3 linked regions of the Pelodiscus sinensis genome follow. The protein of the gene in region 2 interacts with the protein of the main gene of each other region in a biochemical or structural test. Links are inferred from orthologs where the notes say so. Each region holds a gene or a part of one and is shown on either strand. Other genes may lie near its edges. The genes, in order: UBE2S, RNF7 and UBE2F.

Evidence for each region.
Region 1: the proteins of RNF7 (region 2) and UBE2S form a complex in vitro, tested with the Homo sapiens proteins (3 studies listed by BioGRID). The link is inferred for Pelodiscus sinensis from reciprocal best matches to the Homo sapiens genes RNF7 and UBE2S.
Region 3: the proteins of RNF7 (region 2) and UBE2F form a complex in vitro, tested with the Homo sapiens proteins (10 studies listed by BioGRID, with this or other methods). The link is inferred for Pelodiscus sinensis from reciprocal best matches to the Homo sapiens genes RNF7 and UBE2F.

Annotation. Positions count from the first base shown.
Region 1 is NW_027465849.1:3,530,404-3,534,148, forward strand, and holds the start of UBE2S (ubiquitin-conjugating enzyme E2 S), read left to right. Parts: upstream 1-1,173; 5' UTR 1,174-1,247; coding exon 1,248-1,376; intron 1,377-1,507; coding exon 1,508-1,655; intron 1,656-2,982; coding exon 2,983-3,173; intron 3,174-3,745. UniProt on the Homo sapiens protein: Accepts ubiquitin from the E1 complex and catalyzes its covalent attachment to other proteins. Catalyzes 'Lys-11'-linked polyubiquitination.
Region 2 is NC_134720.1:20,848,684-20,852,428, forward strand, and holds the start of RNF7 (RING-box protein 2), read left to right. Parts: upstream 1-1,480; 5' UTR 1,481-1,540; coding exon 1,541-1,718; intron 1,719-3,745. UniProt on the Homo sapiens protein: Catalytic component of multiple cullin-5-RING E3 ubiquitin-protein ligase complexes (ECS complexes), which mediate the ubiquitination and subsequent proteasomal degradation of target proteins.
Region 3 is NC_134717.1:61,530,175-61,533,919, reverse strand, and holds the start of UBE2F (NEDD8-conjugating enzyme UBE2F), read right to left. Parts: upstream 2,688-3,745; 5' UTR 2,531-2,687; intron 1-2,530. UniProt on the Homo sapiens protein: Accepts the ubiquitin-like protein NEDD8 from the UBA3-NAE1 E1 complex and catalyzes its covalent attachment to other proteins. Together with the E3 ubiquitin ligase RNF7/RBX2, specifically neddylates cullin-5 (CUL5).

The sequences.
Region 1 (3,745 bases), on a different chromosome or scaffold from region 2:
TGGCACACGAACGGGGACTGTCCATTCCTGGCACTGGCTTGCTGAGGGCTTAATTGGAGGCCAGTGTAATGTCCCTGGTTGGCTGTAAGGGGAGGGAGGGTATAAAACTGATTTGGTTAGACATTGGGGACGGGGGAGGTACTTGGGGGTCCCCCTTGAGCCTGTCTTGTGTCTCCGGCTCTTGTATGCCAGTCCAGGGCTGTGGTGAGTTAGTGGGTCTCAATCTGTCACCTCCAAAGCACCAAAAAAGGGACCTCAGCTGGCTGAACAGACCCTAAAGTTTCCCCAGGGCAGCTGGATCTGAGGCCCGCGGGCAGCTGACCCTGCTGTCTCTTCATAAAGATGCCTCTGATCTTGGATAGCCGTGTGCGGGGGGCCAAATCCACCCCTTCCTCTGGCTCGGGGGCTTCCCCTAACCCCGGCAGAGACCTTGAAGGGCCTAAGACCCAAACCTGCCTCTCCTGAGAGCTCCTGGCCTTCAAACGGGCTCGCTTGAGGATGCAAGTAGACGGGGCTTCTCCCTCTCCCGAAATCTTACACGGGGCCCTAGCACAACAGGGGCCTCGTCCTTGTTAATGACTAAAGAAGGGGGGGACCTTTGGATGGGTCTCCAGCTGTTCAATTTCTTTGAAGCCCCCCGAGCTGCCGTAGGGGGTCAGGCTAGGAGAGGTGTCTGTGCTCTTGTGCGCCACATCTTACTGGGCCTGCAGACTCAGGAGGATGCTGCTGCTTGATAAAGTTCGAGGGAGGGGGACTGAATTGCAGGCCCCCCCCATTATGAGAGCCTGTTTTCGCTGGGGGCAGCAGGGATTTTGCTCCCTCGCTTCTGGGGGTGAAAACGGGACACAGGTTCCAGCTGGCCCCACGGACCGGCCCCTGGAATCTGCCTGGTAAAGCCAACCTGGGTCCCCAGGTGGCAGCGGTTTGGGGGGAGATCCCAAGATGGGCGGGGGGGGGGGGGAGTGATAGAAGCTTTTCTGCTTTTCTTCTCTGGCCTTCGTCTTTGCCAGAGCAACTTGTCCTGGGTCCCATGACCTGGTCTTGGTGCCAGTGGGGCTTCCCTGGTGCACCAAGTGGGGCAGGGGCTGAGTGAAGGGTGCCCGGGAGGGCCCCACAGCTCATGGGGGGGGGGGGGGATTGCCAAGGCTCCATGGGGGCTGCACTTCACCCCTTCTAGGGGAGTGAGCTCTTGGGTCTCCATATCGACCTGGACCGGGCAGGGAACTCTAGGAGGCCCTGGGACCTGCATGGGGCGGATTGGGGGGCTCGTTATGGGGCGCGCGCCTCTGTCAGTGCTGACATCAATGTCCCTGGCACGGTTCCGCTGCTCCAGGGTCCCAGTGCACGTGCTTGTCCTGCTCCCGGCCGCTTTCCAGGTCAGCAGCTCTGGTGGAGGGGGAGTGCAGCGGGTGGGTGGAGCGAGCAGGCCCACGGTTAGCCGAGAGCCCACGCGCCGGCCAGCTCACCCCCCCGGCCTGTGACACGCCCCCGTCTGTCTCCCCCACAGAACTCGAACGTGGAAAACCTGCCGCCTCACGTCATCCGGCTGGTCTACAAGGAGGTCTCCACCCTGACGTCGGACCCTCCGGAGGGCATCAAGGTCTTCCCCAACGAGGAGGACATCACAGACGTCCAGGTCACCATCGAAGGACCTGGTGAGATGGGGGTGGAGCTGGCTGTGGGGGGGTGTGGTCAGTGGCTACAAGGGGGTGGAGCTTTCCTCAGTGCTCCCAGTCTAGGGATGTTAAATATCAGTTCACTGAACAGTCGAGTAACCTCAAGAATTCTTCTCGGTCACTCAGCTATTTTGTAGTCCCCTGGGGTGGGGCTGGCAGCGAGTGTGCTCCAGCCCCACTCCCGAGGAACCCCCTGCCACGCTGCCACTGCTGCTGGATCAGAGGCAGCAGCGGGGGGGGCTGGTCCATGAGGGGAGCCAGTTTAAAAACCAGCTCCCCATGTGGACCGGTTGCCTGTCACCCCGTGCTGCTGCCTCTGATGCAGAGGCAGCAGCATGGGGTGGCAGCAGCCCCTGTCTTGGAGGGGGGAAGAGGGGTGGTCTAAGTTCCCAGACCTGTCGCAAGCCAGATTTGAGCTGGGCTGCCCGCCTGCCCGGCTCCTAATACACTTGAAATACAGATCCTGCAGCAGGGGTAGATCCTGGACCCGTCATAAAGTCAGGACTGAGCCGGGCTGCTGGCCAGTCTGCTAAAATATGTACTGGCAAGTGGGGGGGAGGAGAGAATGGGTGTAGTCTACAGCAGTGTTTCTCAACCAGGGGTACAGGTACCCTTAGGGGTACTCAAGAGATGTCTGGGGGGTACGTCAGCACCACTGACACCTGGAGAAAACTGAATGTTTGTTTTCAGTTGTACAGCGCTTGATTCTTTTTGTACTTTTTACACTCAATGTTTATCACCTGCCCGTTTAAACACACGTGTTGCGATGGTGGAAAAAAATTGTCTGAAAACTGTAGGTACTGGGGGCACTTCTAATTTTTTTTTAAAGGGGCACTTTATAAAAACAAGGTTGAGGAACACTGGCCCTATCGCGTTAGCCTCCAAGCTTTTGCATACCATGCTGTTGCATCCCTACCCCAGGCACCCTGCCTGCTCCTGTCTGAGGCAGGGAAGTGGATCTCTGCCTGAGGAGGGCGCTGTGATCCCTGGGTGCTTGTGGGGGGCACTCAGACCCGGGGGCAATCCCCACCCAGTCCTGCTGGCCCTGTGCAGTGCGGAAGGCAGCCCCCCTCAGACTCCTGGTCTTGGCAGTCACTGGTGCCCAGGAGCTGGAAGTAATTACTCTGCAGTGTCACAAGGAGTATCTACTTCCTGTCCCAGGGCCCTTCCCCAAAGGGGGCTGGCGCCTCCAGCCCGGAGCAGGGCCCCCTGGGATGTGGGGGCTGTTCTGGGAGCGAGCTGGGGGTGGGGCTGTGCCCTGGGACGTGGGGGCGAGCCCATCTCACCCGCTCGGCTCCCTTGGCAGAGGGGACACCCTACGCCGGAGGCGTCTTCCGGATGAAACTCATCCTGGGCAAGGATTTCCCGGCCGCGCCACCCAAGGGCTACTTCCTCACCAAGATCTTCCACCCCAATGTGGGCGCCAACGGCGAGATCTGCGTCAACGTCCTCAAGAAAGACTGGAAGGCCGAGCTGGGTATTAAGCACGTGCTGCTGGTAAGCAGGGGGGGGGGGGGGGGGGGGGGACGGACGACGGCGCCGGTGCCCTCCCCTGGCTTGGGCCCCGGTGGGGGAGGGGGCTCTCTCCCTGGCAGGCCGGGCTGTGCCTGCTAGGCTGGCACAGAGCTCCAGCAGTGCGGCACCCTAGGAGGGGCGAACACCCTGAGGCCCGGCCTGCGGAGTTCCTGGCGCCATTCACACCGGGCAGCTGCAGGCTTGGACACCTGAAAGGGACCCCCTGTTTCGAACTCTGCCGGCCGATCCCTCCAGGCAGCCCCCTCCTTCCCTCCGGCCGGGGACGCACTGTCTGCAAATTCCCTTCTGCAGCTCCCCCCAGGCCTGGCCTGCCTTTCCAAGTGATGTCGCCCGCCGGGTTGGGTGGGGGGAATGGCTTCTGTCCATCTCACTACGGGGGAGCGGGGGGGTGTTTTCTGGCAGCTGCAGGGTTGGACTGCAGGGTATAGTCGCTGCTGGTCCGTGCCTCAGTTGCCCCTCGCCAGAGGGAGTCGCAGGTGCTGGGAAAGTGATCCCCAGAAGCCAGCGGAATCTGGCCACCCTGTGGGTGGGCA
Region 2 (3,745 bases):
TCAAAAGCAAAACAACTTACAAATTTAGAGTCTATTAGTCTACTCAGTCCTACTTCTTGTTCAAGAAATCACTTAGAGAATGAAGCCTGTTTACATTTATAGGAGATAATGCTGTCCACTTATTTGAAGTGTCACCTGAAGGTGGGAACAGGTGTTCCCATGGTACTTTTGTAGCGGCATTGAAAGGCATGTGTACCAGATATGCTAAATATATGTATGCCCCTTTATGCTTTAACCACCATCCCAGAGGACATAATTCAATGTTGATAATGCTCATTAGAAAAATGCATTAATTTTTGTCTTAATTCCTTGAGATATGTCTCCTGCTCTGTTTTGCCTGCATTCTGCCATATATCTCATGTTGTAACAGTTTCAGATGATGAGCCAGCATGTGTCTATTTTAAGACTGCTTTCACTGGCAGATTTCACAAAACGCAAAAAAGGTACCAATATGGCATTTCTAAAGACAGCTGCAGCACTGGAACCTATATTTAAGAATTTGACACTCCTTCCAAATTGTTAGGAGTTGTGGAGCATTGTTTCAGAAAAAGCAAAATTCTGATGAAGAAACTATACAACCCAAACTATTTCCTACCCCTGGTTTAAAATCTGCCCCATGATCTAAAAAGGTAGAAAAGGGTCATTTGACCCTTGCAGCAACATCTGTCCAAATTGAATAAGGACTTGATATAGTGTGCTGTGTGTTGCTGATCATCATGGCTATGTCTAGACTGGCATGATTTTCCGTTAAAAGCATTTGCGGAAAAGAGTGTCTAGATTGGCACGGACGCTTTTCCACAAAAGCACTTTTTGTGGAAAAGCGTCCATGCCAATCTAGACGTGCTTTTCTGCAAAAAAAGCCCCGATTGCCATTTTTGTAATCGGGGCTTTTTTGCGCAAAACAAATCTGAGCTGTCTACACTGGCCCTTTTGCGCAAAAGGACTTTTGCCCGAACAGAAACAGCATAATATTTCTGCAAGAAGCACTGATTTCAGGCAGTAGGAAGTCAGTGTTCTTGTGGAAATTCAAGCAGCCAGTGTAGACAGCTGGCAAGTTTTTCCGCAAAAGCAGCTGCTTTTGCAGAAAAACGTGCCAGTCTAGACGCAGCCCATGGGAGTGTCTGTTCCACATAATACCAGAGGAGATGGAAGATATCTGTTTCTGAAGCTTCTATTCCTGCTCTCTCTGTTGCGGACCTGTTGTTCCCAAGTTCCTGATTACTGGTCAGCTGTTCCTTGTTCTTGTGTGGTGGGGTCCCTGGCCTAACACTGAAGTGGGTGGATTTTAACTTTTTAACTGTGATTAGTGGTTGTTCTTAGCAGACGGCCGTAGTTGACAGATGCTAATTTAAGGGCTTGCTGCAGCTGGTCCCCGCCTCCGCTCCCGGAGCGGCGCGGCTGAGGGGTCGAGGTCCCCGTGCCTCCCGTGTGCCCCAGCTCAGCTGGCCGCGCTCCGGGCGCTGGGCGGCGCTGCAGCCCCGCTCTGCCGGCTGGGAGAAGCCAGAGCGGCGCCGCCGTCGCAGCGTCTCCGCCCCCCGCCATGGCCGACGTGGAGGACGGAGACGAGCCGGTCGCCCCCCACTCCCACGCGGGCTCCTCGGGCTCCAAGGCGGGCGCTGCCGACAAGATGTTCTCGCTGAAGAAGTGGAACGCGGTGGCCATGTGGAGCTGGGACGTGGAGTGCGACACGTGCGCCATCTGCCGGGTGCAGGTCATGGGTAAGCGTCGGCCGGGCCCGGCCTGCTCGCTGCCCCTTCCCAAAGGGGAGGAGACCCCCGTATCCTGGGGGGAAGGGCTGTATCTCCTCGCTGCCACCCCCGCGCAGGCAGAGCCTCACGTATGACAGGCCTGTTTTTCCTCACTGGCTGGCGCCACACCAGCAGAGCCCCACAACTTGGAGGGGGGGGGGGCTTGTATCTCCTCACTGTCCCCTCTGGAGGGCGTGTATGTCCCCTTGATATTCTGGAGTAGGAGGGGGGCTGTACCTTTCCCCCCCCCCATAGGAAGAAACCCACATCCAGGGGCGAGGGGCTGTATAGTCTCACTGCCCCTTACCACAGGGAGAGCCCCAGGTAGTGGGGGCCTGTATAGCCTCACTGATCCTTCCTCACATGGGGAAAGCCCCACATCTTGGGGCTATCTGAATCTCCTCATTCCCCATCTTCTCCCCCTCCCCCAGGGCAGAGCTCCATATCCTGGAGGGGCTGTCACTTTTCACTACTCTCCTCCCCCCCACCTCAGGCAGAGTCTCACATCGTGGCAGGGAGAGAAGCTGTATCATGTCACTGATCGTCTCTCCCTGGTACAGATGTGAACAATTAACCAGTTATTTGGTAAGCATCCCCTTTACTGGGTGATGCACTGGTACCCAAGAGCAGCCCCCCATTCGTAGCCTATCCTGGGTAGAAGGCAGCTCTAGCCCTACAGGGCCCTGGAGTAGAAGCTAGCCACCCAGTGTGGGGTGGGGGCAGGGCGCAGAAGCTGAGGTCAGTCCTCGCCCGTCCCCCCCATATGGCTACTTGTTTCTGCTCCCATTCCCCTCAGCCAGGAGCCTCACACACAGGGGGTGACAGCCCACTTAATGGCTTAACCAGTTGAACCTAAAGTTTAACTGGTTAACTAATTAACCAGGATTTAACATATCGACTCCTTGGGGAGAACCCTGCAGAGCTGAGGCCCTCACTGCATTCCTCCCCAGGAAGACCAGGATTTCTGTTAGAGCTTGAATAGACTGGTTTCCTTCTTCCCGGCGCTGACATGTTTGCTGGGACAATACCAAACCCCACAGATGGGGTCACTGAGCAGTTGTGTACCTGCCCTTAATTTTTACAGGGACTCCCATTTATATAGTGCTTAATGTCCTACCTCCGAGTTTGTCCTATGCCTAGTAGAAATTGCATAGAGGATCCTGTGCTTGTACCAATGGCTGATGTAGATCTCTGTGTGTTTGTACCAGAAATAAATCATTAGATGCCTCACCTAAGCAATCAGTTTTAACCTGTAATATTCATACTGTTTATTTCCTGAAATAAATTGCGGTTGCTTGACATGGCCCAGCATCTATCATATAGTGAGGAAACAGAATAAACAGCCTCTCAGTAGTAGGGATGTTAACAGATGAGCCTGAGCTCATCAGTTAATGCGCATAGTTACACGTAGCCCCTCCTCCCCTGCATTGCTGCCTCTGATACAGGGAGCTGGTGTGAGCTGGTGCATGTGGGGAATGGGCTTAAAATTTGGCTCCCTGTGAGCACCAGCTCCTGCCTGCACTCCCCTCCCTGCTTCTGCCTGTGATAAAAGCAGCGAGGTGGGAGGGATGTGGTGCTGTGGGAGCTGGTACGTGTGGGGAACCAGCTTTTATGCCAGCTCCCTGTGTATATAGGATCCTGCCTCCCTCTTCCCCTGCTCCCCAATAGAAGCAGTGAGGAGGGAGGCAGATAGCTCCCCAGGAGCTAGTACTCTTGGGGAGCCTGCCTAAAAGTTATCTCTCCATGAGTACTGGCTCCTGCCTCCACCCCCACTTCTCACCCACTGCTGCCTCTAATATAGAATATTATAGTTGTCTGGAATGTTGTGTTCATCCTTCTGGGGCATCTGGTATTGGCCACTGTCAGCAGACAGGATACTGGGGTAGACCTTTAGTTTGATCCAGTATGGCTGTTCTTTTGGGGCTGGAGCGGGGGCTTGCACGTAACCGTGAATGTTAACTGATGAGCTGAGGTTCATTGGTTAACAGTTTACACAT
Region 3 (3,745 bases), on a different chromosome or scaffold from region 2:
GATCTTTGAAAAATAATGGCAGACAGGGGAGATTCCAGAAGACTGGAAAAGGGCAAATATTGTGCCCATCTATAAAAAGGGGAATAAGAACAACCCAGGAAACTACAGACCGGTCAGTTTAACGTCTGTCCCAGGGAAGATAATGGAGCAGGTAATTAAGGAAATCATATGCAAACACTTGGAAGGTAATAAAGTGATAGGGAATAGCCAGCATGGGTTTGTGAAGAATAAGTCATGCCAAACTAATCTGATAGCTTTCTTTGATAGGATAACGAGCCTTTTGGATAAGGGAGAAGCGGTGGATGTCATATACCTAGACTTTAGTAAGGCATTTGATACGATCTTGCATGATATTCTTATTGATAAACTAGGCAAATATAACTTAGATAGGGCCACGATAAGGTGGGTGCATAATTGGCTAGATAACCGTAGTCAGAGAGCTGTTGTTAACGGTGCTAAATCCTGCTGGAAAGGGATAACAAGTGGAGTTCCGCAAGGGTCTGTTTTGGGACCCGTACTGGTCAATATCTTCATCAATGATGTAGATATTGGGATAGAGAGTACTCTTATTAAGTTTGCAGATGATACCAAACTGGGTGGGGTTGCAACTTCTTTGGAGAATAGGGACATAATTCAAAATGACCTTAGCAAGTTAGAGAAATGGTCAGAGGTAAACAGGATGAGGTTTAATAAAGACAAATGCAAAGTGCTCCACTTAGGAAGGAACAATCAGTTCCATACATACAAGATGGGAAGCGACTGTCTCGGAAGGAGGATGGCGGAAAGGGATCTAGGGGTCATAGTGGACCACAAGTAGAATATGAGTCAACAGTGTGATGCTGTTGCAAAAAAAGCAAATATGATTCTAGGTTGTATCAACAGGTGTGTTGTAAGCAAAATTCGTGAAGTCATTCTGCTGCTCTACTCTGCACTAGTTAGGCCTCAGCTGGAGTACTGTGTCCAGTTCTGGGCGCCACATTTCAAGAAAGATGTGGAGAAATTGAAAAGGGTACAGGGAAGAGCAACAAGAATGATTAAAGGTTTAGAGAACATGACCTATGAAGCCAGGCTTCATGAACTGGGCTTGTTTAGTTTGGAAAAAAGAAGATTAAGGAGGGACATGATAGCAATTTTCAAATATCTAACAGAGTGTCACAACGAGGAAGGAGAAAATTTGTTCCTCTTGGTTACAGGACAAGGAGTAATGGGCTTAAAGTGCAGCAGGGGAGGTTTAGATTGGACATTAGGAAAAAATTCCTAACTATCAGCGTGGTCAAATATTGGAATAAATTGCCAAGGGAAGTGGTGGAATCTCCCTCTCTGGAGATATTTAAGAACAGGTTAGATAGACATCTGTCAGGGATGGTGTAGACGGAGCTTGGTCCTGCCTTGAGGGCGGGGGGCTGGACTCGATGACCTCTCGAGGTCCCTTCCAGTCCTATTATTCTATGATTCTATGATCATACCATGCCATCCTTACTGCTGCACCGCTGCTGGTACTGGCTCTGCCTTTAGTGCTTCGTTCCAAGAAAGCAGCCACCGTTCTCCAGCTACCCAGCTCTGAAGACACCACCATCACCAAACAGCAGCACAGAAGAAAGGATAGTATTCCTGCAATCACCCCTATAATAATCTTGCAATCACCCCAAAACTCTTTTTTTGGGGGTCAGGATCTCCCATAGTTACATCACCATGACATTTCAAATTTAAATAATAACGAAATTTACAAATTTTTAAATTCCTATGAACTTGACCAACATGGATCATGAATTTCGTACAGCCCTATTCATAATAGACAGCTAGAGACAAAATTAGGTCCAGATAGTGCATCTATAAAAGCAGATATTAAAAAAATAATCTGGGGAGAAAGGAGGGCGCATCCAGTTTGGCTGTATATAGAAACTTCATAACCTCAAAAATGTCAGCGCACTGACTCAGTAACGAAGACTTTAAACAAGAAAATGGAACTGTTGAAGAAAAAGAGCAAAGACTTCAATTATCAAGTTATAGACCATCACACATCATACTTGTGGCATATTACAGGGACCAGAAATGCAGGGGATAGCAGCCTCTAAGCCGGATCCCACAAGACTCAGTTGCTTAGTACCAGAGGGGTCATGTTAGCCTGGGTCCGCAGAAACAAGGAGGAGCCCCGCGGCCCTTGGAGACGAACAGATTTATTTGGGCACCAGCTTTCGTGGGCGGACCCCACCCGCCAGCTGCAGGTTCAAGCGGGGCCCCGAATCAGTCTCGGGGCTTCCAGCAGCCACAAGACCCCTGGCGGCCAGTCCCCGGGGGGGGGGGGGGGTAACCCTGCCCGGCAGAGCGAGCCGGGGGGGGGGGGGGGGCTCCGTGTTTCTCCGGACGGAGGGGAGGCGGCGCGGGCGCTCGCTGGGGGAGGGGAGCCCGGCTCGCTCCTGAGGTAACTGCCCCCCCCCCCCCGGCAGGCCCGTGCGCGCCCACTCGGGGCCCCGCCAGCCCGGCCCGGGGGGGCAGGGTCCGAGTCCCCCTCGGGGGGGGCCGCACTCACCGGCAGCGGAGGGGGGAAGGCGCAGGCCCAGGCGTCTCCAGCCCGCGCGGCGCCGCTCCGGGGGGAGGGGCGGGACCGCCCCCAGCGCTGCCCGGAAGCACAAACCGGGGCCGTTTCCGCTTCCGGGGCGCGTGGGACCGGCAGCGCCGGTCGGGCCCGCGGAGAGCGGCGGTGGCTCCCGGGAGCTGCCGCGCGGGCCGGAACCGTCCGACCGGCGCCTTCACGGCCGCCGCCTCCGCGCGCAGGGTAGATCCCTCCGCAGGGGCGGGGCCTGAGCCGGAAGCGGCCGGAGGCCCCGCCCCTTGTCTGGTGCCGGCGGCAGAGGCCCCGCCCCCTCCTGCGCGTCTCCCACGCTCGCTCCACCCCAGCGCGGCCAGGCTGGGTCAGAGCAGCGACCCGGCGCGTGACCCCTGCGGGCCCTGTCCCAGGAACGCCTCTGTTCTTTTGTGGAGCCCTAGTAAAGGCTTGACCACGTCCTGCGGCAAGGCGTTCTGCAGGTTAACCAGGCCTTGCGTGAAGAAATGCTTCCTTTTGTTGGCTTAACAACCCAACGTTCCTTGCACTGGGTCAGTGATGACCCATGGGATGGGAAGGAGTAAATCACTTTATTTACTTTCTCCACCCCAATCATGATTTTATCACCTTAGTCTCTCTTTTCTAAGCTTAAAGGACACAGTCTTATTAATCTCTCCTTCTGTGGCAGCTGTTCCATACCCCTCAATGTTTTGTGTGCCCCCATTTCTGAACCTTTTCTGAGATGAGGTGACCACATTTGTACACAGTAGTTGAGATACGGGTGTACCATAGATTTATATAGAGCAGTGCTTCTCAAAGCATGGTCTCGGGATCACTCAGTCTTGCAGGTGTGCTGCAAGTTGCCCCCTTCTGCAGTGGGGAGCTCCTCTACTGCTCCAGCCATGCCCCCATCCCGCACAAGTGCCAGAATCACAGCTAACGCACCCTCAGCCTGCTCATGCACCCTCTACCCCTCCCACTCCACACGCACACACCCTACCTCCCTTCTCTGAAAAAAAGTTAGAATCGAGCACATAGTAATGATTGGCAGACTGCATAATGAGGCTGTAATGAGTTCTCATTAGGGATGAGTGCATCTCAGGCTGTCTAGTGTTTTGACATCTTGAATGATCTAGTTATGTAAATTTACACAAAATGATGGAAAAAAAGCACTTGCAGATTTAGACAAATTTAAACCTC